Caenorhabditis elegans: one gene and its partners. The protein of the gene in region 2 purifies or fractionates together with the protein of the main gene of each other region. This does not show direct contact. Each region holds a gene or a part of one and is shown on either strand. Other genes may lie near its edges.

The links.
Region 1: the proteins of wdr-5.1 (region 2) and jmjd-3.1 purify together in Caenorhabditis elegans (affinity purification with western blotting, with the first as the bait; one study listed by BioGRID). This does not show direct contact.
Region 3: the proteins of wdr-5.1 (region 2) and sox-2 purify together in Caenorhabditis elegans (affinity purification with western blotting, with the first as the bait; one study listed by BioGRID). This does not show direct contact.
Region 4: the proteins of wdr-5.1 (region 2) and sem-4 purify together in Caenorhabditis elegans (affinity purification with western blotting, with the first as the bait; one study listed by BioGRID). This does not show direct contact.

What each region holds. Positions count from the first base shown.
Region 1 is NC_003284.9:8,569,022-8,576,240, reverse strand, and holds jmjd-3.1 (Lysine-specific demethylase jmjd-3.1), read right to left. Parts: upstream 5,193-7,219; 5' UTR 5,168-5,192; coding exon 5,119-5,167; intron 4,847-5,118; coding exon 4,283-4,846; intron 4,143-4,282; coding exon 3,972-4,142; intron 3,919-3,971; coding exon 3,524-3,918; intron 3,477-3,523; coding exon 3,246-3,476; intron 3,195-3,245; coding exon 2,483-3,194; intron 2,437-2,482; coding exon 2,261-2,436; intron 2,204-2,260; coding exon 1,611-2,203; intron 1,551-1,610; coding exon 1,350-1,550; intron 1,299-1,349; coding exon 1,205-1,298; downstream 1-1,204. UniProt on the Caenorhabditis elegans protein: Histone demethylase that specifically demethylates trimethylated 'Lys-27' of histone H3, a mark associated with transcriptional repression, thereby playing a central role in the histone code.
Region 2 is NC_003281.10:3,702,571-3,707,284, forward strand, and holds wdr-5.1 (WD repeat-containing protein wdr-5.1), read left to right. Parts: upstream 1-2,714; 5' UTR 2,715-2,716; coding exon 2,717-2,830; intron 2,831-2,893; coding exon 2,894-3,151; intron 3,152-3,197; coding exon 3,198-3,855; intron 3,856-3,906; coding exon 3,907-4,007; 3' UTR 4,008-4,214; downstream 4,215-4,714. Other genes in the region: C14B1.2 (Conserved plasma membrane protein), read left to right, coding at 1-16, 71-202, 252-500; C14B1.3 (F-box domain-containing protein), read left to right, coding at 1,086-1,150, 1,202-1,469, 1,518-1,645, 1,693-2,386; dph-1 (2-(3-amino-3-carboxypropyl)histidine synthase subunit 1), read left to right, coding at 4,317-4,397. UniProt on the Caenorhabditis elegans protein: Contributes to histone modification. May position the N-terminus of histone H3 for efficient trimethylation at 'Lys-4'. Required for di- and trimethylation, particularly for the trimethylation at 'Lys-4' of histone H3.
Region 3 is NC_003284.9:7,457,429-7,463,297, forward strand, and holds sox-2 (Transcription factor sox-2), read right to left. Parts: upstream 3,121-5,869; 5' UTR 3,083-3,120; coding exon 2,907-3,082; intron 2,829-2,906; coding exon 2,765-2,828; intron 2,324-2,764; coding exon 2,198-2,323; intron 2,127-2,197; coding exon 2,022-2,126; intron 1,970-2,021; coding exon 1,589-1,969; 3' UTR 854-1,588; downstream 1-853.
Region 4 is NC_003279.8:7,036,394-7,042,191, reverse strand, and holds the start of sem-4 (Spalt-like protein sem-4), read right to left. Parts: upstream 3,293-5,798; 5' UTR 3,285-3,292; coding exon 3,209-3,284; intron 1,552-3,208; exon of another isoform or gene 1,481-1,551; intron 1-1,480. UniProt on the Caenorhabditis elegans protein: Transcription factor, involved in positive and negative modulation of transcription. Binds to multiple DNA sequence motifs in the regulatory elements of target genes, including homeobox selector egl-5 and LIM homeobox mec-3.

The DNA of each region.
Region 1 (7,219 bases), on a different chromosome or scaffold from region 2:
ATGGGTCTCACCACAAAGTGTCTCACCACGAAAGGTCTCACCACGATGGATCTCACCACGAAAGGTCTCTCCACGATGGGTCTCACCACGATGCGTCTCACCACGATGGATCTCACCACGAAAGGTCTCTCCACGATGGGTCTCACCAGGATGCGTCTCACCACGATAGGGCTGTACAACCGGACGTCCGGTGGTCCGAACCGGACGCACATGCGTCCGGTTGGGGGCAGCTATCCACGACGGCCGACAATTTCCGAGTTTCGCCACTCACTATAAAATTGCTGATTAAGTTTAGTGAGTGGCGAAACTCGGAAATTGTCGGCCGGCGTGGAAACCTACCGCCAAAATATTTTCAAAAAATTAAAATTTTAAATTCCCGCCAAAATGTTTTCGAAAAATTAAATTTTGAATTTTCGCCAAAATATTTTCAAAAAATTAAAATTTTAAATTCCCGCCAAAATGTTTTCGAAAAATTAAATTTTGAATTCCCGCCAAAATATTTTCAAAAAATTAAACTTTTAAATTCCCGCCAAAATATTTTCAAAAAATTAAAATTTAAATTCCCGCCAAAATGTTTTCGAAAAATTAAATTTTGAATTCCCGCCAAAATATTTTCAAAAAATTAAAATTTTAAATTCCCGCCAAAATGATTTCTCAGAAAATTTGAATTTCCCGCCAATTTGTGATGACGTCACAAAAGGGGCGGGGCTATAGGACCCCTCTTAGGTGATTGAGACTACAAACTACAGAGTTCAAAGACCAAAGATCAAAGATCAAACTACATAGGGACAGAAGGACACGCGCTTTATATATAGTAAATGATTTAATTTTCAATATTTTTAACATTCTTTGAATAACATTCTTTGATAAAATACACCGATAATTGCAGAGATAGCGAGAGCGAGGAGTGTGATGGATAAACGTGAGAAGTCAGGGACCATTTGATGGAAAGAATCATAATTAAGGGGCGAGGTACGTTTTTCTTCGAAAGAAATTAGGGATGTAATTGAGATAGAAAGGCTTGAGTTGGAAATTTTGAAAGTTGATTTCGGGAAAACAAATGCTAAAAATGAAAATTGAAAAAAAATACAGAAAAACAGCATTTAAACGCTGTAAAAAACTAATAGAACATCATAAAAGAACGTTAAAATTTGAGGAAAAATCCTAGAAAACATATTAGAAGGCACCATTGTTGGATAAATATTTAATTAGGAACGTAGGCATCAAAAATATTAACCAATGTTTCTAATGAAAAGAACCATGTGTACTTGAGGAACCTGTCCTTTTTGTATTCGTTTCTGTAAAACACACTGTTCATTGATGATTCATTGATCCTGAATAAAACTCACGCTACATGACAATGAGAGCAGAAGGGGTACGAATCTACTGATAAGTCCTCTGTGGTGTACCATCTGACAATGTTGAAGATTTCAGATGTACAGTATTTACATCGTTGAACGCGATCAGCAAGCTTCCATTCGCTAGCGTCTCCAACAATGTAGTCATGATGATCAATAAGATCAAAGTACCACTTTGAATGGGCAAGTGATCTGAAATTAGATTGAGCATTGTTTAGAAAATAGCAAATTTTTATTATCATATGTACTAACCTGATCATGACACCGCGCATGGCTTTATACATCTCGGGATCGTCGACGAAAAGCCTCTGACGTGCAGCATTCCAAACGAGATTTACCAATGGAACATGCGCCTGGTTCCCAATGAGCATATTGTGATCGTGAGCCACTATTGAGGTAGCCAGCTGAGTGAAGTTTGGCTGTCCGACATTCCAAGATACATTGATGCAGAAGCTATTGCTCTGCACCCAATGGAAACATCCAGTATTGACATATACCATCTCGTCAGCTTTTTGCTCGAATTTAATTACAGGAACTCCCAGCTCCAGTAATTCCTTTTCGCTTGGCCAATAGTCTTGATCCTGGTACTTGTGCCCGTGCTCTCCAATCATAAACTCCAGCTGCCCCCAATACTCGTACGGCACAGCAAACCAGACGCACGTTCCCGGACCGCGGTTCCAGTTGATGCTAGCCATGAGTGAGTTTTCCATGTGTGCTGGAGTGCGTGATCCGATTGGTTTCGCGTACATCTGTACAGTATTGATGCCGAGAACGTCTACTCCTGCGTAGTTGAGCAAGTTTCCTTCACGGTTTGGTAGCAGGAACGTCGGCAGCTTTTCGATTTCCTGTAAGAACATAGAGAATTAGATAAATTATTTTGAAAAATGTAGAATATCACTAACATTCATCTGCTTCTTGAAATTTTCGGAAAGCAAGTCGATATTTGTTCCAAACTTGATCCAAGGCATTGTTTCATCACAGCCCTCAATTGCGTTTTGAGCTGCAATTCTCTCAGCTTTCAATTTCTGGCATGTGCTCTCTAATTCTTTTGCTGTGCAGTTTGAAATCGTTTCGAAAGCTTAAAAACAAAGATTAAAAATCTTATGTTCAAAAGTCAATATTACCTTGCATTGCTTCAGACTCCTCCTTCTGCATGTACCTCTCGAAATCTTGCAGCTTCATCTTAGAAGAGTACGATGTAACATCCCAACAACGAATTCCTTTACTATCACAGTTTCCATCGGCACTTTGTGGTACTTGGTTAAGAATATCAATGGATAATTCAGGATGACACTTTGCAATTTCTGGCAGTGAAAACAGTTCAGTCTTGATGTTCAGAGCCTTTGCGATTCCGCTAATGTTGGTGATGCTCGCTGAGTTCAAAATGCGCTCAAAATCCGACGAGAATACTTCTTCTTTGGTGGTGACTGTGAGAGTTGGACATGGTATGCGGTATTTGTGATAGTCAGTAAGATCTTTGACTTGCTCGTGATACATCGCTCTTTCCAGATCCAAAAGTGTCTTATCGGCAACCGGAGGCTGTAGTCGTTCATCTTTGTAAACGGCGTTGACATGAAATTCGAGTAATTGACCTGCCGCTTCGAGGACTTCTTGTGATGTACAATAGAAGTTGAGATATAATGGTCCAGTTAGCAAAAGGGCTGGTGGATTGGCAGGAACTTCACTTTTTCGTTTTCCTTCTCTTCGCTTTGGCGGTACTACTACACGAATGGTAAGATCTTTCAAATAATCCTGACAATGTCGATAGTTTCCTTGATCCGGGAAAATTGTATTCAGCTGAATGGCAGCACGCATGTAGTGAGAATCTTGGGTTTTCTGAAATATTAGTTTTTGGTTTTTTAACAATAATTTTCAATGCGGACTGACTTGAAATTGAAGAATGAATTTGTCAACTCTGTCTTGCCTTGATTTCGACAGTTTTACTATTTTATCATTCTTTTTAGACATGAAGTCACGAACAAATATCAACTGCTGAGCCATAGTCCAAGCCCCAGAAGCATCACGAAATTCAATTTGATAATTAATCGTCCGTCTTTTTGGTGGTCCATCATCTTCCTCATCGTCAGATTGGTTCTTTTTCATGCGGCGTTTTCGGATCTGTAAATTATGCATTAAACTGAGAATAGATTAGTTATGAAATTTACCGTATTTGGGTTTTTAGTATATGCTCTTTTCGTCCTGGGTATAGGGGGTTCGGTTGCAGATTGTTCCTTCTTCTTTCGACCACGCTTTTTTATTGGTGTAGGCTCCCTTGTTGCATCAGAAGAGCATGAAGGAGCGGAAGAGTCCAATCCAATGTCAATCGACGTGCGGGGGCAATAATCATCTACACTTCCTGCATTAGATTCCGTTTGATTAGCCACAGAGGTTGTTTCTGTAAATTCGCTTGAAGTAGAAGCAGGTTGATAATCAAGCGATTCGTTTTTAGGACTCCATGATTTTTGGTCATCGTCAGAAATTTCTGAATCTCCAGAAGTTGTCCCAATCGAACTTCCGACACTGTTGGTATGCTGCACAGGCACAGGTTTCAACGTCGTTTCTGAAAAAAATATTATCGTTCAGAAATTAATAACTGGTAACTGTTGCTCTCACCATTGTCACTGAGTGATTTCTCAGTTTTCTCCGAGATCAGTTTTTCAAGATGCTGATTGTTGCCAATTTGTTCAGTCATATCAGAGAGCTTGTCGTTTGAACCACTGCCAATGAGAACATCAGGCGTTTCGACTTTTTCCAAATTTTTTGGTTTTGAAACTACATTGCTGTCTGTAAATGTTCCCAGTAAGTATTAGAATGTTTCCAAATTAGTTTAACTATGTATTTTGTTTCAATTTTTCAAAAGCTATCAAAATCATAGTTACATCAAAGAATGAAAAAAATATTTTATACTTAAACAATCTACTAACCATTCATAATCACATCGCCCGAAATGATTTCTTCAGAATCCGTAGAAACGTGTACTGTCGGGAGAACAACGTCTTCAATGTTGCACTCAGTTTCACTATTGATCAAATCTTTAAAATCTTCACTCTCATTTCCTTGTTCTGAATGGGCCTCTGGGCATGCTTCGAAAACGCCATTGGATTCTTGGAGCTGATCAGCAAAGTTATCAAATCCTGCAATTCGTATAGCCTCGTTGGTAGATCTGCAATTCTGGTCAGTAGAACTCTTTGGAGATACTGTCAACGATTCAATGGGAAGATTTTTCTGAACATCTACAACCAGCTCATCCTTGAAACTATCGTTTTTGAGTGGATTCAACACAGTATCAGAATACACGCCAAGGGTTTGATTTTTAAAATCAAAGCTTTTAGGAGCATCTTGCTCTTGATCAATAGTCTGAGCTTCCGGTTGCTTGGTCGAGTTGAATTCTACTGGCCTCATGGTGGAGTTCATTCCGGGAAATGGTGGAGTTTCCTGTGAGTTTTTAACCAATGACATACTTCTTGGGCTTGCTCCGAAAATAGTAACTAAACATAAGTAGTATAAGATGAGGTAGCAAAAATTGAAAAGAGGAATGCTGCCCGCGTTTTTAGGTGTATAAATTTGCGGAAACGTGCACTCGTGCTTAATTAATTAGATACCTTGCTTGTTAATCTTTAAATATCAAAGTCATATCCGTATTAAAATATGACTAATGTAATTGAATCTTATGTAGAACTTTCGCATGAATGCACTAATCTTTTCAGTTCGACTTTTGGTCGCCAACTGGTCACTATAGCAAAAATGCAAAGTAACTCACAATGTGTAGTTCCAGTTATTCCAGTCAAGTGTGAATTTTTCCCTTGCATACGATGGTAAATGCTGGGGAACAAACTGTAAATATGAGTTTATAGGTGGGTAGGTAGATCCAAGAAGCGATTATTGAAAAAAAAAGAAAACAGTTCGGACAAAAAATTTGTAAGAATTTAATTAGGCACGTGAGAAAGCCGAAGTTCTAGTTAGGCACTTCAATGATAATGACGTAGATAATTAAGATGTAACTGAAAAGGTGCCAATCTAAAATAAGGGTTTAAGTTTACTCAAATACACATGTATAAACCAGGTCAAATCCATTTATTGAATCAAGTTAATCATGAGGAGATAAGCAGGAAACACGATGCGTAGGTGAGAACATTGCCAGGCTCTGAATAATTTTTTAAAGCTTGAGTTGAAGTGATAAAAGCAGATCGAAAAAGCAAACATTTTAGTTTGATTAAATCTCAAATTTAGAATCCCATCAAACTATTAATAGAGAGTACGTGCACATTTGTAGACATTCCCGGATCTTTACATAACTTAAAGTACATATATCTGCCCTTTTCATGAACTTTGGCATTATCTATGCATTCACAGTATTATTGGTTAATCCAGCTGCCATTTCATTTTTGTCTAGGGTTAATTTTAGAAAAGAAACACAACTAGAATACAAAATACAACAAAATAGTAAACTAGCATTTACAGTAGTTTTGTTTACTGCCCATCCCACGATGTCAATGAATGAAGTATGGACGAACGACGTCAAACGAGGAGGTAGAAAAGATAGCGTGGTTTTTTTTTCGTTTTGTTTTTGTTGTTGACGGGGCATACACTGACTAGCTATAGATGGCTGTGCGTTGTGCACACGCACGTAAATAAATATCAAACGAGGAACGGCGCTCGAGGAAAAATAAAGAACGAGACGTTGCTTCTCTGCTTGCTTGTTGGTTAGATATATTGAGACTAGCCACGTGTGAAAAGAACGCAACACGGCCGAACACGCAATCTATTTGGCTCCAGTCGAGTAAATAACTAAGCTCGTGAGAAGAAAGAGTGAAGGGACTAATAAGATGTGGCCTGCCCAATATTTAATGTATATGTCATGTTGTCATTGCAATACATTCACAAATCTACTTTTGAACATTAATTAGACAATAAAACTGAAATTTGCTAGGTTCTTTTGAATCAAAAATAAAACAATTTGAAACAACACGTGTGTGAAATTGAAAAAAGTACACCGCTTTTTTGGTCTAACATATGAAACTAAGTAGCTTCTTTTAGTGTACAACATATACGTTTTTGATCAAACTAATCAAGATAAAAATAGTTAAGATTAATTATTTTCGCAACATAGTACGTTTTCCTACTTTCTCCTACTAGTTTGCTCAAAGCTATTTTCAACATGGCATGGAGAATTTCAATGATTTGCTTTACTTTATGAAATTATCTGCATAAAAGTATGCGATATACGGTATTGTAAACGTAGCCAAAAATTGAATGCCTATCATTAAATTGTGCGACTCATTCTTTGGCGCGGTGCGCAAAACAAACGGGGTGATAAAATATATTAGCTCATAAAGCAGTGAATTTTTACCGTCCCTTTTCATTGGTTGGCCTATTTGATGTTTGATTCAAAAAAATGGGAAGAAAAACGGATGAACGCAATAAATTGCAACGGGCTAGCAGAAGGCGGTTGTATGTGTGAGTGTGTGTGTGTGTGTGTGGCCTGCTTCCATCGACCGAGTTGACCGCCATTGTGGACGAGTGAAAGCGAGAGTAGAAGGCTTAGGAGCACTTTGCGAAAGAGCACATGAATTGAAGAGGGGAAGAGATGGGACCACCAAGAGCGATGTAGAGAGCGCAAAAAAGAGGGATGAGTGAAAGTAGGATTTTTTTAGGACATAAGGTTGTACAAGCGTTTTAGCTTTTTAAACTTTTTTTTAAAGCTTTTTTAAAATAGGTAGGACAAACCAATTACTCAAAAATTATCTAGAACCAATTAAGAATAATCAATTTACGATAAAAGGGAATTTTAGTAACAATATGCAATTTAAGAATATTTTCATTGAGAAACTGAAAGCTTATTTTTGTGAAGCACACAATCA
Region 2 (4,714 bases):
TTTCGGAAAGAGTACAGTAAGTATATAACATCGACGGTGGGAGGGGTCATATTGACACAACCGTTTTTAGGCCACGTCGCGCAGATCGTCGGACGGCTTGATGACAAATCTGAAGAAGGATGAGGCGACAAGGATTTGGTTTGCAGTCTATCTCAACATCATTCTCGTTGCTCTGATTTACGTTTTCATCACGATTAAGCTGGTAAAAAATGATTACACTAAAGATTAAAGCTAGATAATTGAATTTTTAGGCACTCATGTCACTGAGCGAAGGAAAAACTGAGCGCAAGAAACGGAACACCTTCAGTTCACACGTTGCCTACGATTCCCCCGACTATAATGTCCCATTGACCAGTATTGCAACAAGAGAGATTCCAAGAGGTCCCGTTCAAGATGAAGATTTCGAGATGGCTTTGGAAGTCCGAGAGGATGAGCAAATCGCCATTCCGAACCCTGATCTCCGCAGTGATTTATCCACGGAATTTGATGATAATCACTAGTTCTAATTCATGTTCAAAATTTTTGTAAATAGCATCACTAATCTATTCCAATTTGACAGGTTCCTATTGCACGAGTATTTCTTCATAAACACGGTTATTCGTTTTTTTTTCCTTTTTAGAAACACAAATCTGAAGAACATGAATTGCTTGACCTTGGTATTGGCGGCGATAACCTAGAAAGTGGGACAAGTTATTTCTTGCTGTCCACGTATCTTTGGATAAGGAAGATCATCAATGTTTCGTAACCTGTAAAACTAAGAGAAGAGAAAGACAAATATATATCAACTAATCTAAAAAGTTGCAGTCAGCAAGATGAGGAAAAAAATAAAATATATAAAGAAGTTGAATATCTAGAGGTTCTCAATATTTTTGTCAGAAAGTTTTTTTCTCATTCTCAAAATAGCATTGAATATTTTCTTATTAATATTTTTGCTTTAAAATAATAATATTAACAGCGTGATAGTTTTTTGGAACACGAATATCACATGCATGCGCATTTCGCAAGACTTCCATTCTCTGCGTCTCTCTCCTTCTGACTCATTTCTTCTCTTTAAAATCGAAAAATATTGTTCTCATCGACCCCAAATGTTTAAAGCGTTCTCATCGATAATGCAAAGTCTACAGTTCAAAACCGATGTTCCAGTGATAATGTGAGTTTTTTCTTAATTAAAATATCAATTTTTCACCTAGAATTATTTCAGAGATGCAGAAACTGTGCCGAACGAATGTTTCTCGCCAATTTTCCGAAGGCTGGACAAAAAATCACTTCTAAACTGCCAATTGGCTTGCCATCGATTCAATGATTTGATATCAAGTGACTCGTTTTGGATTGAATATGCTCGAATTTTAAATATATCAAATGTTCTTCCATCTTTGGAGTGGAGAAGAGCAGCGACACAGAAGAAGTTTGTTGGAAATGAAGACAATGAAATTGACACTTCAAGTTTTAATTTTAATATTAAAAAAATAGTAGGTTATCGCATTTTATAGTAATAAAATTACAAAGTTTTACTTCAGGTTCTGTCTGGAAGAGGCTACTCACCAATCACTCCGCTTTTCATTTCTCATTTTGAAAATGCACGTGACAACACAATAAGTGGAACTCTCCGTTCAGATGATTTTTCAATCAGAGCGAATGGCAGTGGGTATGTCAATACTTTGTTCTTAAAATAATCAATATTTACAATTTCAGAATCCACATGGAAAGAGATGGAGGAAACGGTTGTGAACCACATCCGGATGTTTCCAAGTGCTTCGTATTTTCATTCACAGAGAGCTCAATCAGTGTTTTCATCGATTTGGTGAACTCTGGAATTGACCCATGGATCTTGGATCACGTTCGCCCGAGAATTAGAATTACACAGAAAGTCAATCATCGTAATGATTGTGCAGCCAGGCTCTCATTTGCTGCTCAGTTGAACTATCACGAGACTCAGTGGATTGAAAGATTTGGCCATGTACAAACTATGAGCAACACTGATCATAAAAGATATAAATCTGTAAATAAGGAATGGGCTCAATGGACTGGTCAACCTTGGGAAGATTGGACAATTGAGTTTGACGATTACCCGTCTGGAATTCGACATTTAACTATTCTGAATGAAGGTGAAGATAGACAATTTTGGAGAGGATTCTACGGACCAAAAGTTGCCAATATTCAAGTCGAAGTTATTCTGCCTGATGAGCCAATAGTTAAACCACTCGCTGTTGATTCCGAAAAATGCAATGAAGACGAGAATCCTAACGCTGAAGACGAGGATGATGACGATGATGAAGTACCGCCAAGAGTCGGAGTTTTTAGAATGCCACTCTTTCGTCGTGGTCGTCACATGTATGGAATTCCTCCCGCTGTGGCTCGTCATGAAGATGAAGACGAGGAAGATTAAATAATGCACCGACAATTTTTCGCTTAACTGTTTTATAAAGTGTTTGTATGACTGGAAAAGTTTGTTATATCTGTAATCGAATGAATATATAAATATTTTAACACGTATCAGACACGGATACATGTCATGACATGAGTTCATTAACGAAAAAAAAGAAATTCCGAAAAAAAAACTGCAAAAACATTGCGCGTCAAATTGTGTGTTCGCTGTGCATGCACCCTTGCCTCTGCGTACCGCACATTGCATCTTACGACGATTTCTATTTTATATTTTTTGAATGAATTTCTTCATTTTTCAACTTAATTTTTGATTTTTGCTGTGATTTCAGATATGGATACCAGCGAAAATGCTGCTTCAGCTGCCGAGCAACAGCCAACACAACAAATCGATCAATTAACAGTACCAAATGCTCCGGATGGAGGTTCTTCAGCTCCTGCTCCATCTGTAGGTTTCGTTATTGTTAAATAGTATATTTTTGAATAAGACTTCACAATAGTCAATTTCCAGACTTCTCCCAATTCAATTTCGCCATCAAATCCGACTGGCACACCCGCTCCAGGTGCCAGTGCCCAAACTCCCAATCCAAACGCCGCCGGAGCTTCAGCCTCGGGTTCAGCAAATTATAAGCTGATGTGTACATTGGAAGGACACACAAAATCGATTTCTTCAGCTAAATTTTCCCCATGTGGAAAGTATCTCGGAACAAGCAGCGCGGACAAAACCGTCAAAATCTGGAACATGGATCACATGATTTGTGAGCGAACTGTATGTTTCCGCTCATGAAAATTACAATTAATCCTTAAATTTTCAGCTCACCGGCCACAAACTGGGTGTAAACGATATAGCATGGAGTTCCGACAGCCGTTGTGTTGTCTCTGCTTCCGACGACAAAACACTGAAAATCTTCGAAATTGTAACGTCGAGAATGACCAAAACCTTGAAAGGACACAATAACTACGTCTTCTGCTGCAATTTCAACCCACAATCATCGCTCGTTGTCTCCGGATCATTCGATGAATCCGTTCGTATCTGGGATGTCAAGACAGGAATGTGCATAAAAACCCTCCCAGCACACTCAGATCCAGTGTCAGCAGTGTCTTTCAACAGAGACGGCAGCCTCATCGCATCGGGATCCTACGATGGTCTAGTTCGTATCTGGGACACTGCCAATGGGCAATGCATCAAGACTCTGGTCGACGACGAGAATCCTCCGGTGGCATTTGTAAAGTTCTCTCCAAACGGAAAATACATCCTCGCATCGAACCTCGACAGCACTTTGAAATTGTGGGATTTCTCGAAAGGAAAAACCCTGAAACAATACACTGGACACGAGAATAGCAAATATTGCATCTTCGCCAACTTCTCTGTTACCGGTGGAAAATGGATCATCAGTGGTTCCGAAGATTGTAAGATCTACATCTGGAATCTCCAGACTCGGGAAATAGTTCAATGTCTTGAAGGACACACACGTAAGTCGAAAAATAAAATAAAAATGCAAATTTAAATTTTTTCCATTTCAGAACCCGTGCTAGCCTCCGATTGTCATCCAGTTCAGAACATCATTGCCTCAGGAGCTCTCGAGCCAGACAACAAGATTCATATATGGCGCTCGGATGTTTAAATTGTTTAAATTTAATTAAAATTTCGAAAATTTGATTTATATTTACCCCTTGGTCACCGTGTATATATGCTTTTCCTTCTTGATCTCCTATATTCCTTGATTATAGAGGCGCGGTGGCCAGACACTTTTTTTTCTGAAACTTCGTATTTTCTGTCATTCCTTATATATTCTTCCTAATATAAAAATCCATAAATATTAATTTCCGTGGGATGATTGAGATGATCATTCAATTGATTCGTTTTATTTCGATATTCTATTTGATTTTCAGATTTAATTTTATTTTTCTGGATTGAGGCTGAAAATTTTAGAATGGCAACTCGGGCTACACAGATTTCGACGCTAGTTGAGGAAATTGCAAATAATCCCAATCTTAAAGAAGATCTGAAAATTGTAAGAAATCGCAGATTTTCTAAGTAAACGCCCCACCCCTGAACTATGGGTCTCTTTAGGTTAAGAAACCGAAAATCGAATTTTTCAATTATTCTTGCCCGATTTCAAAGCATTTTCAATTGGTTTTAATGATTTGATGTCAAAAAATAAATTTTTTCATAAATCTCGGCATAAAAATCATTAAAAACAACGAAAAATGCTTGAAAATCGGGGAAACTAACTGAAAACTTTTGAACATCCAGTTTTGCCGCCAAAAACCTAACGAGACCCATCGTTAGCCCGTTTCCACGTGGATTTCAAAAGGGTTTTTTTTCTGC
Region 3 (5,869 bases), on a different chromosome or scaffold from region 2:
TTGGCTCAGGTGTACGATAGTCAATCATGACGCCGAGCCAAAGTCAGGAGGCAGCAGAAAAATAAATGAGAGACTGCCCCCTTTCCAAAGCTTCACTACATCCAAAACTTACAGAGCTCCCAAAAATATTAGTCAGTTATTTGAACGCCCCCTGCTGTGCGGTCTGAGGGGCACTTGTGCTGCTTTTGCCAAAGTCATGCATATGAATATGGGACAAAATTGGTTGGGCATCGTCAGTCTCCCGTTGTTTTCCACTGGCCAAGATTGGCGGGCAAATGACTTTCCAAAATCTCCCTACAGCAATCAAAACCTCGTACTTCGGTGTATGAGTATGAGAGTGTGCGCGCGTGCGTGCTTCAGGAGCCACGGAGCCGGACTGTGGACGACCGAAATTCGATCATACACTGCTCGGCGGCAGCTCCGGCTATTTTTGTTTGAGTTGAGGAATTGAGACCACCCTATTCCGATTCCATCACAACCCAACTTCACCACACAGGAAGAAACAGTATGTATGTGTGTATGTGTCGAGGCGCAAATCGAATCGAGAAAACGAGACAACCAACAACCCGATGTTTGACAATTTCGCGAAATTCATATGCACAGTTTTCGTTGACTCTTCTCGGTTTCTTCTCGTCTGCCTCTGATACATTCACTTCACCATTGCTTGTTTGAACAAAATAAACTTCTCGGTAACGACCAAATCAAGTAAAGAACACACTTTTGGTTGGTTGTGTGCAAGTAAAAATACCAATGCATCTTTTTTATCAAATCTGGGTGAAAAAAAAGAAGCCTCCGGAAACTGACTGCTTCTTGCTTCAATCTTTTTTAGTCGTTTGGTTTTACAGATCTAAGCTTGGGTGTCAACATTTTATGGATAAATTAAAAATTTGTAAACTTATATGATGGTATCAACATCTAAATTTTAGAACATGGTATTTCAGAATGCAAAACTGAAATATGAGGTCCTCAGAAATGAGTTGGGACGCATCTAAATAGGTTTCTAAGCGCGAATAATTATTGGAGTTTCAAGAAAGAAATATACAATAAAACTGAAGGTGATGAGAGTTAGGAGCAATAAATTGGTTGCATGGATTAAAAAACTGGGGAAACGTGGAAAATGACGGCTGACACAAGTGGCATCAAATAATGGGTAAGAGAGCAAACAAAAATCGAAGAACAGTGAGAATTATCAAGAATCAGGACGGAGAAAATGAATTCCGATAAACCACAAAAACTGACATAGGAAACAAATATACGAAACATATTGATTAGAATTTCAAAAACAGTCAAATACCAAGTCAGTGTTGTGTTGGCAAAATTTTAAAGGGAGAAAAAATGGGGAAGTGAAACAACCTCTGGGCACGTATCACCCTACACGGGACATTGAATTTTTTGTGAGAGAAATGGGAATAAGAGGTAAAAAGTCATTTAGCAATGCACATCTCTGAAACTGCCTCAGATTTTGATTTTGGAATTGAAAAAGCTCAGATGTTTCAAAAGTCAAAAACCGTTTTGAAAAAAATTAATGGAGTATTGAAATTTGTACCAAAAAAACTAATTGAAGGTCAATTTCTTTCGAGAAGTGTGTTTAAGAGGTAACATGGGATTGGGAAAGAGCATTTTGAATGTTTTGAGCATGAGTCAATTCAATACTGTACGGATACATCATCTGATCCTTTGTGTGGTCGTAGTAAGCACGAAACTGACTGGAGTCAACGGTGCCGACTGTAGAATCACTGCCAACCGGCGAGCTCTCTGATTTTGGTGTCAGGTAGCTGCCAGCAAAATTTGTGCTCATCGGAGATGGCTGGAACTGCGAAGGCGACGAGTTGTCAGTTGGGACCGAATGCACTGGGTATGTCAACGAGAATGGAATTTGATCCATTACAGTTGTTGTGGGGTACGGAGCAAACCGAAACTGATCAATATACTGATTTGTCGCATTCCAGTTGGTTGTTAACGTCGGATACTGAAACATGAAAATAGATATATGAAGTATTCAATATCGAAGGAAAACTTACAGATGGCGTTTTTGTGTCCAAATTTCCAAATGGAATTGGTGCTCCATTTTTCTTATTAATTGACTTTGTCTTCCTTCTCGGTCTGTATTTGTAGTCTGGGTGTTCCTGAAGAGAACAAATTGTGATGGCACTATTCAATAAGCTTAGTATCAGGCGACCCAGATTCCCCAACTAACCTTCATATGAATGGCGCGTAGTCGTTTCGCTTCATCGATGAATGGTCTTTTTTCTTGTTCACTGAGCATTTTCCATTCTGTCCCAAGACGTTTGCTGATTTCAGAATTGTGCATTTTTGGATTTTCCTAGAATAATGAAAGTGTAATATAATATGTAAGATACGTGAAATGCAGTTTGCTTTCAAGCTGTTCGAAATGTTGAAATTTAGGCGAACACAGGTAATATGACTAAAACTTTCTGTGAATAGAACCTAAATACTTATTTTCTCCAGATTTTCAATGCAATATGAGAAAAATAATTTTAAATGTAGAGGATTAACTCAAGTGAGTTAAGGGATCAGAGACTCTAAACGAGAAAACGATGTGCATATATTAGAAGATTCTCCAGACATAAGTGAATCAAGAAGGTCACGAATCGAATCGTTGACGCAAACTGTGTCTTACTAATTAGGAATGCAATAGAAGAGTGTGGGAAATGATTGATTTAGTGTGAAAGTAAACTATATCAGATACAATTTTAAAAAGTCAGGAATTAACAGTAGGTTAGAAAATGAAAGAAAAATTTACCAGAGCCATTTTCTTCCGCTGTCCTCTGCTCCAAACCATAAATGCATTCATTGGCCTTTTCACTCTGAAACGGAAACAATAGATGAATAGAACAATGTTTCGATGTTAACACTTCCACAGAAGAGCCACCTGAATATCTTACCTGTCGTCATTCTTCTTTCCGTCTTTTCCTGTTGAATCAGGGCTATCGGGCCCATTTGACAAATCATCTGGCATTGACTGCGGGAGAAGATTTGTTGAAGATGTTGGTGGCATGTGAAATCCAAACGACCAACCCGAGTAGTCCTGCATTTTTGCTGAATCCGGATCCATCATCATCTTGTTAAACAACAATGATATGACACGTCGACCGGACACTGCAAAAGACAACCAATATGAAATACAATAGAATTTTGAACGGGAATCGCGCAAGAGAAGGAGGTAGAAAAGACAGGAGAAAGAAGAAGGGAAGATGGGGAAGAGGTTCACGAGATTGGGCGCCGACGAGAGGTGCACAGACAACTGTGGGTGGGCGGGTCTAACACCGCTTGGCCAATCATCGCGCGCCTTCCAGGGCGTGGCTTATTCTCTCTGTCCCTCGTTACCAAAACTCTCTGTATGATGATGATGATGCCGACGCAATGTCCTGGCGGGACCTATTTCACATGATGATGACAACGTTTCTCTCAATCCGTCGCTTCTCCACCAGCAGCAGAAACGGCGACGTTGATGATTCGGAAGACGTCGACGAATAAAGTAAACTATGTGCAGGTGACCGTGTACAGAACAACACCTCGGGAATAGCAATAGGAAGTAAGAGATGGTGGTATTACTATACACTTTTCAATTTCACACATTATTGGATTCTAAAGTTCTTGTATGTATCGCAGAGAAGAACACCTGCTACGGCGGATACAGCCAGTTATAGCTTTAGAATCAATCGGAAAATACTTAGAGGCGGCAAAAAACTCTGATTGTTCAAAACTACAGTTTGTGCATTTGTGCTTTAATTCAAAATTGAAGTCAAATCTGAAAATGTCAATATCGCAAATTGAATATTTAATTTATAAACTTGATTTCTCGAAAAAAGCAACTAACCTATTTTTCTTCAAGCACTCATTAAAAACGACTGCTCATAATCTGAGGTTTCTATTCACAAAGCGCTGGAGACTGAGTCTCGGAATCTATTCAACACTTGTCTATTCATTCAACATTTCGGGCGGCTAATTTGGGAAACGACACTTCTCTGTTTAATCAAATCATATTGTTCCTGGTGTTGTTTTTCAGAGTTATGGATCTACTAAAACTGGAGAAAAAATTGAAAAAAAAACATGAGACCCGCAAGTATACGGTAACTTTGATAGCTAATCAATGTTAAACTATGAAAAATCCAACCTGATAAAATCTCGATTTTCAATAATAGCTGGTTGATTAACAATAGATAACTGATGAGAGGAGAAATTTCAATACAATGATAACATCAGTAGGGAGGTGGTAGAGGAAGATTTGTTAACAAGCTATATTCACATCCAAGGTGGCAAGGTATACCTTTCCTTTCAAGACGCCGTTCTAATCCGACAAAATGAAGCGAGCGATACGAGCATCTGTGGTTTTCGAGAAGATAATCCCTTAGTTATTGGCAAGCTTCTTGTTGATTGCGAAAAGCTGAGACAGACATTAAAGGAAATGATGGCAGTGACGGCTCTTCAGAGGTACGGGTCACAAGGTACGAAAAACCAGAACCTAGTTGACGAGGTGGTTGTAAAATAGCATTAGGGGCCGCCTAACCTATATCCTATAATGGCAGGAGAGCATCTTACAAATCCGTATCAAATTATTTCAGTACAATACAAAAAATTTAATTTATTTCTTGTTGTCAAGGAAATCAGGGAAATAGATTTTGGAAGTTTATTGTAGATGAAGCAAAAAAAGCGAGCATTTCTCGATGGAGCAAAAACCTCGGGACAGCAAGAGAGAGCAAGCAAGCACACATTGGAAAGCACTCTCACATACACATAGCTACAGTATCCGGGAGAGAAAAAAACGACGAAGGCTTGTTTCGCTAGTTTTGCTGCTTTTGCTGGTCATGAGAGGAAGAAAAGAGATGGCACAGAGTTTTGGTTTTGGTTTGGTTGTAAAAATACTGGGAAGAAAACGGAGAGAGCGAAGTAAGCAGGAAGACGTGAGAATTCAAAAAACAGTGTTGACAGGACGCTTTTTTTTAAGTATCAGAAATAAAAAAGAAATAGAGAAATTTTGATTATCGGTCATTTTTCAAAGAGTTCCCAATTTCCTATTCCAACTTTGGCTTATCAAAAATGCATCGTCAATATTGTGAGATGAATCTATAATCAATCTAGCTTACGCCTGAATGACGGATATGGGAAAATGATGAGAAGTTGAAAAGTGGGACTTCATATTATTTAATATATATGACGAAGATGATCGTTTGCACGAGCAATTGAGTTAAGGAGGTTTGATGGTTAGCAAAAAACGGGAGTAGTCGAGGAGGAGACATTAGGCAAGAAAAAAGGGGGAGGGTAGTTTATACAGTGAAAGAGGACGAAAACGATCTTTTTAGGATCTATTGGGCACCCGAAGGTCGAAACGATCAAGGTGTGTGCGTTGCGTAGTGCGCGACCGCCGGGACGGCTTCTCGACTTCAGGCGTGACTCCTTGATGCACGCACGACTGTAGACAGTGGCGCACAAATTACTCAGAACCAAGTGTCCAAAACTTAAACTACCAGGTTAGAGAGTAAGCCCTTCTTAGTTACTCCGAGGTCTCCACACGAAATGACACCTTATTTTGAAGCCGTCGGATCGTTTATTTGTTTTAGAGACGAATTATAAGGTCGTATAATTGAGGATGCGCCTCATGGAAGAGTGGTAGAGGAAACGATAATCGGTTACGAACGCTGTGGTTAGAAGATGGGAGAGAGTCGGAGGAAATTGAGAAAGTTTTAACACAGACACGAAAAATGGCAGAAGAATTTTCGCTGAATCACCTGCCAAATACTGTTGTTCAGACAACATGGAATTGATTTGTTTTGTGATGAAAGTTGAAAATACGAGCCTAAGAAAACTGACAACACCCAAACAGTTACAAAAACAGAAAATGAAACAG
Region 4 (5,798 bases), on a different chromosome or scaffold from region 2:
CGCTCTAATAAACATTACGAAAAAGGCAGCAAAAAACGAAGAAGGAGGTGGGTTTAACGGAAAAATTAAGACGATGTCAACGATTGATTATTGACAAAAAGGGCATGATTTGATTAACTTTTCCGCATATTACAACTAATTCGAGTCGATTGGGACACGATGTGTCTACAGAGGAAAGATGGAGGATACTGTAAATATGATAACGGCCGATTGAGAAAGGGGACTATGATTGTACAATTAGAGACATAATTTGAAGTTTTCAAACGAACAAATTAAAACATCGAAGCAAAACGACAACTTCAAGTATTTAGATCAAAAGATCCAAAGTAAATCCTGTTTCTTCAAAAAACACTGGAAGCAACAAATTTTGAACTTTCTAGATATCTTCAATTGTTTTAATATAATTTTGGGTAACCACACAAAATGTCGCTGTACATTAACTGTATAAAGTAAATTTCAATTTGAAAATTTTTAAAGTGAATGATTCATTTCTTTGAGAACTGGAAGACTGCTCAAAATTGGATATTTTTAGGCTTTAATTTTTTTAAATTAAAATTTCCAAAAATATTCCAAAATGTTTGCATACCCCTAGAGACCTTTACAATTATAATTTTTTCCGAATTCAATTTAAGAGCAAAATTACGGTCCTCCAAAGTAGTAGTAAATAGACTCGAAAAATCTGCTCTCAAAAAAATTTCAGCTGAAAGTTAAAACAAAAAATCTCGTCAAACTGCTCGGAAAATCAACGATATTTCTTAACCAACTTTAGCGTTTTTCTAGGTGCCATTTACGGAAGTGGCCGAAGTTGGCGAAATTTGGCTGAGAATTTGGTGACGAGTTGCCTTTTGCAGCTGAAATCTTTCAATTATCAGATAGTACTGGATTCAAAGGAACTACCCAAACTTTCGTTCGAGGCGAGAATTACATGACGCTATCTATTTTCAGTTTTGAACTGTTTGATTGTGCAAATATCGTAATTGAGCCCCTTAAAATAAAGTACTCTGGTAACTGCAACTCATGAGCAAAAACTCAAAAACTCTTCATTTTTATCATCTTATCTGTGTGCGAGTCAGTTGGTTTGATATCATCCATTCAATAATAGTCTCATTCATTCTCTTCTCACGCGCTCATAAAGAGTCCTCCAATGTTAATGAGTGTTATCCAAACGCTCCTCCTCCCCAAATATCTTTTTTTTCAACTCATCTACCTCTGCTACCATCAAAAATCCATAAAATATATGAGATGATGATACTCTGCTGGTCCTCAAATACACACTCTCACACACACATTGTGACACACACACATAATGTTTCAATTTTCGTCTCCATCGTCCAACCAATTCATATTGCTTGTTGAAGGAGGAAGCTCTGATATTGCACACTATTTCTCTCGTATTACACAAAAACACTATAATAAATGATCGAGTTTCGAGGGGAGAAGACCCACAGAAGAAGAATTCTGATTCGCAACAACAACGTCTTCATCCTGCCACTCTAAACTTCTTTTGTGTTCGATCATAAATTCGATTTTATGATGGCTCGACTCGACTCGTGTCGAAGGCGGCGGCTCGCGGACCTCGAACACAATAATGTTGCCACTTGAAGCACAAAAAAGAGAGAATCAATAAGGCTTTCAATAGAAAAAAATAATAATGGGCTCAGCCAATGGAAGAATCAGCAGAGAGATGAGATGACAATAAGTCTCAAGTCTCACACACAAGAGCACTTGTTCGTCACAAAAAATGATTTGTGAAGATGAAGCCGAGAGCTGATGGTGGTGGTTTAGAGACAACTGATACCGGAAATTATGATACAAATGATACACTTCTTTTCTCAAAGATGAATATAAAATTTTTTTGAGCATACGTGCCTGCAAGGCAACCTCGGCCTAATAGTAAGCCTATATATCTTTAAATAAAAAAAGGTTAATCTTAAATTTCAACATGTTTATAGAAAATATACGACTGTAAAATTTGTATGCACATACACAGGCAGAAAGTACCAAGAAATATTCTGCATACAAAGTCATGCTCTAAGAGACTGGGTCTTCACATTCATCGAATTGTCAACAGCTGTTGAAATGTTTGACAGTACTGAATGGAAAATTAAACTTTTATTGTCACAGGTGAAATATTTGTGAAACTCGTTTTGGTTAACATTATCTACTAAAAACTTTCAAAACAAATTTCAGTCTTGCTCTTTGAGCTGGACACCAAGTTCAAATTGTCAAATTGTCATCCCCTTTTCAACATGCTCTCATCCTTTCTCTCTCATGTCTGTCTGTCTCAGAACTTGCCAAATTGATTGGTTTTCTTTTTCTCCGAAACTCTTTCTCCCTTCCCCTTGCACTCCCATATTTGGACATTTTCTCTCTCTCTCTCTCGTTTCTCTGCTTTCTTGCTCTTTTTTCTCTCTCACTTTCTCCTCATAGTCGCTTATGATTGGATGGAAATGTGACGGAGGGGCGGAGCAATATGAAAAGATGAATGGAAATATAATAAGTGTCTCTGGTCTTCGGGAGGAGCTCTTTGGACTACGGTAGGTTTTGATTGGTTATGATTGAAAGAATCGAAGGAAAAGCATTGAAAAAACACTAAAAATGAGGTAAGAAGATACGAAAGAGATAGAGATAAGAGATATGTTATCATATTTGACAAGGTTCTGTGTTGGAAACATTTTAATGAAAAAGTGTTCCTTGAAGTGGAACAGATGTGACAGATTTCTCATTAAAACTTAAAAAAATGAATGAACGAGAAATATATGATAAATTATATTTAAATGAAAATGCCAAACTAGGATGGTTTTGGTAATATTAATTTTTTTTTAATACTGGTTTTCTAGCAAATGTCTCGTCCGAAACTATTCGAAGTAATATGAATAATATTGATAAGTTGATAAGAGGAATTGACATTAAAATTGTAAATTTACACCAATTTATTGTCTCCTTCCAATTTTCATTACTTATGTCCCAAAAACCCATAAAAACTAGTGATAACTGGTTTTTCTAGAAAGTCTAAAAACCTTCAAAAATGTAGAACTAAAATGATTTTGAAACATTCCAAAAGTGCGTTTTAAGTTTTAATATTCAACTTTGTTATTTTCGCAGAAAATTTCAAGATTTCAAGGTCGATCATCATCGCCTTGTTTCATTTTCTTGTCTTTTACTTCATTAAACACCCCGCATTTTCCTCTCATTTCCCTCAACTTACCACCAGACATTCGACGTGGTTTTGACTGTTTTCTGCGGGATGAAACCGCGGCCATCTCGGCGAGCAGCTCATTCATCTGGAGCTCTGAAAAGTTGAAATTACTAGAAGATGAGCATGATAGGCAAAGAATGAAAGAGTAATAGTGGACAAGAAGAGGGAAAAAAGCAGAGAAAAGGATACAAAACAACACACACAGAGAAAAGAGACAGAACAAAAACGATTTATATTAGAAAGATGAGAAGGCGACGGGACAAGGGGGCACATATTGCGAAAACAAGGCTATTATCAAAATTTATATTATTAGAGTAAAATGGTAAAAGTATTGAAGACACGAGATGGCAGTAAGGGAATGGGAATGGAATTCAATTGACGATAAAAAATTGAACTTTAAAATAGAGTCATTAATCATAAATGATATTGCTCGAATGAGCTAGTTATCGAGCGGCGAGCCTATAGTCTAAATTTGCCCATAATGCATTTTTGGAATGAACATTTTTGAATTATGCACCGGCTCGCCATTTGTCTTTGCAAAAGTTACGAAATACTTGGTTATATGACTGGGTTTAGGCCGCACCCAGATTCAGCCCAAAATTGATCTAACTCTTTTCAGCGTCTCAGCCAAGTTTAAAACGATACAATACAAGTTTCACAACAGCTAGATAAAACGTGAGTTTAATTTGGGTACATCATAAACCAGGACTTTCTCAAGTTTGCCCCGAGCTTTGTCAGTTTTTGAAAGAGTAATTTTTGGATCAACCATAGGCAATCAGTTCGCGCCAAATGACGAGTATAGCCGCAGAAGAATCTTGAATCGGATGATTTTTTTCGAGTGTAAATATGAAATTTTGTTGTTCATGGTTGGGTAAAGAAAGAATATCTCAAAAAATGATCAGGGGAAGGTAGTGAGTGATGATGTGAGTAAGTGAGGGTGTAGAAGATGAAAATCGTATAAAATGAGTGAGTGAGCGGTTCCCCTTTTCCATGAGGTGGATACGGTGTTGCAATTGAAATAGTTGGAAAAAAAGGATGGAAAAAAGATCGGATCGGTATGAATATAAAGTGCGAGATGCGGTTGAAGATTCCGTTAAATTTGGTGGGGTCTGAGTTCTGTTTGTGTGTGTTCTACAGGCTTTTCGGATTATGAGTCATCAGATCTTGTAGACTAGAATTATTTTAGGTTGAGTTGTAAAGTTTGATTTCTAAATTTAGATAGGAAATGAGGATCGGACGTTTTCAGATACAAGCCTTAGTGCAAAGCTAACCCAGAAATTTGTTATAGATACATATATCGCTATAAAGTGACAGTGTCCCTTTCTCGCAAATTGTGGCGTCACAATTAGTTTCTAGTACAAATCATTTTTAAAAATCATGCTCGACGCCAGACTACAGAAAAAATGGTTGCTCCGTCTTGCAGATGTTAAGCTTCTGTAAGTGAGCTCTGAAAGGTGTTAGCTGAGATATTAAAAATAACATGGCAGGTTGAAATTGTTTTATGTGAAAATGGAACTACATTATTGAAAGTTCTCAAGAAAGTCTCAACCTCAGAACTTGACTAAAAAAGCAGAAATTTCTAAAAATGGCAAATCAATGAATGAATAACTGAATTACTTGCATGATTTGTTGAATGATTGATAAAACACTAATTGAATTAATGAACACAGTCAACCCCAGAAAAAGTCTTTTTTTTTCTCTCTTCATCAGAAGACGTCGTCGATGATTCGAGACGAATTTGATGATAATTGTCACCCCCGTGGTGGTGGTGGTGAGGGGAGACATATTCGATTCGATTCGCGCCAGGTACTCATTCTTGTACCTGACGCTCCGGGCGCCTGTGTGAGGGACGAGATATGATCTGGTAAAATATGAGTTGTTGCAAAAGAGAGAGAGAAGGCGACCGCCACGGGAGACCGACACGTCTTCTCCCTCATACATGACTCCGCCCATTTTGTTCTTTTTCTTTTTCACTCCGTTTCAGAACTGATAGAGATGCAAGTAGTTTGGGCCCCCGGCAGTTCCGAGACCCAAAAGCCCCGCCCACTTTTAAATTGCCCATTTGAGATAGTGAGAACGAGAAGTGAGAGGGTGCAGAGAGGCAGAGATAAATGAATTACTACTGTGTGGGGCTCTCGATGATGATGAGGAGAAGCCTCCCCGGGCCTCAACCATGGGGCGGCTGTTTGTGTTGCAATTTTATGATTTAGCTAGATTGTGATGGAAGAGGAGCAATGAAAAAGAAAATGTTAGAATAGAGAGAATACAAGTAATCTACTCAAATTGGGAAGTTGATGATAAAACTAGGTTTCCGTGAAGTTAGACAAATAGAAAGGAATCTTTGGGGCCAAACAAATTTACCTTCTGCAAACATCGTACTTCTTTAAGTCATATTAATATTTCACCCCCAACAATTTGTATAAAACCAAAGAATCGTGATATGAGCAAGAAAAACAAATACGGTCTATTAAAAATTAGCAACAAACTTATTTTTTAGAACTTCCTAGAAGTTTCACGGTAAGTTGCGATTGCTGGGCAGGCAAGTAGGTAGGCATTTTTGTGTTAAATTTCATCAGATTCCAATTTCGAAATGTTTTTA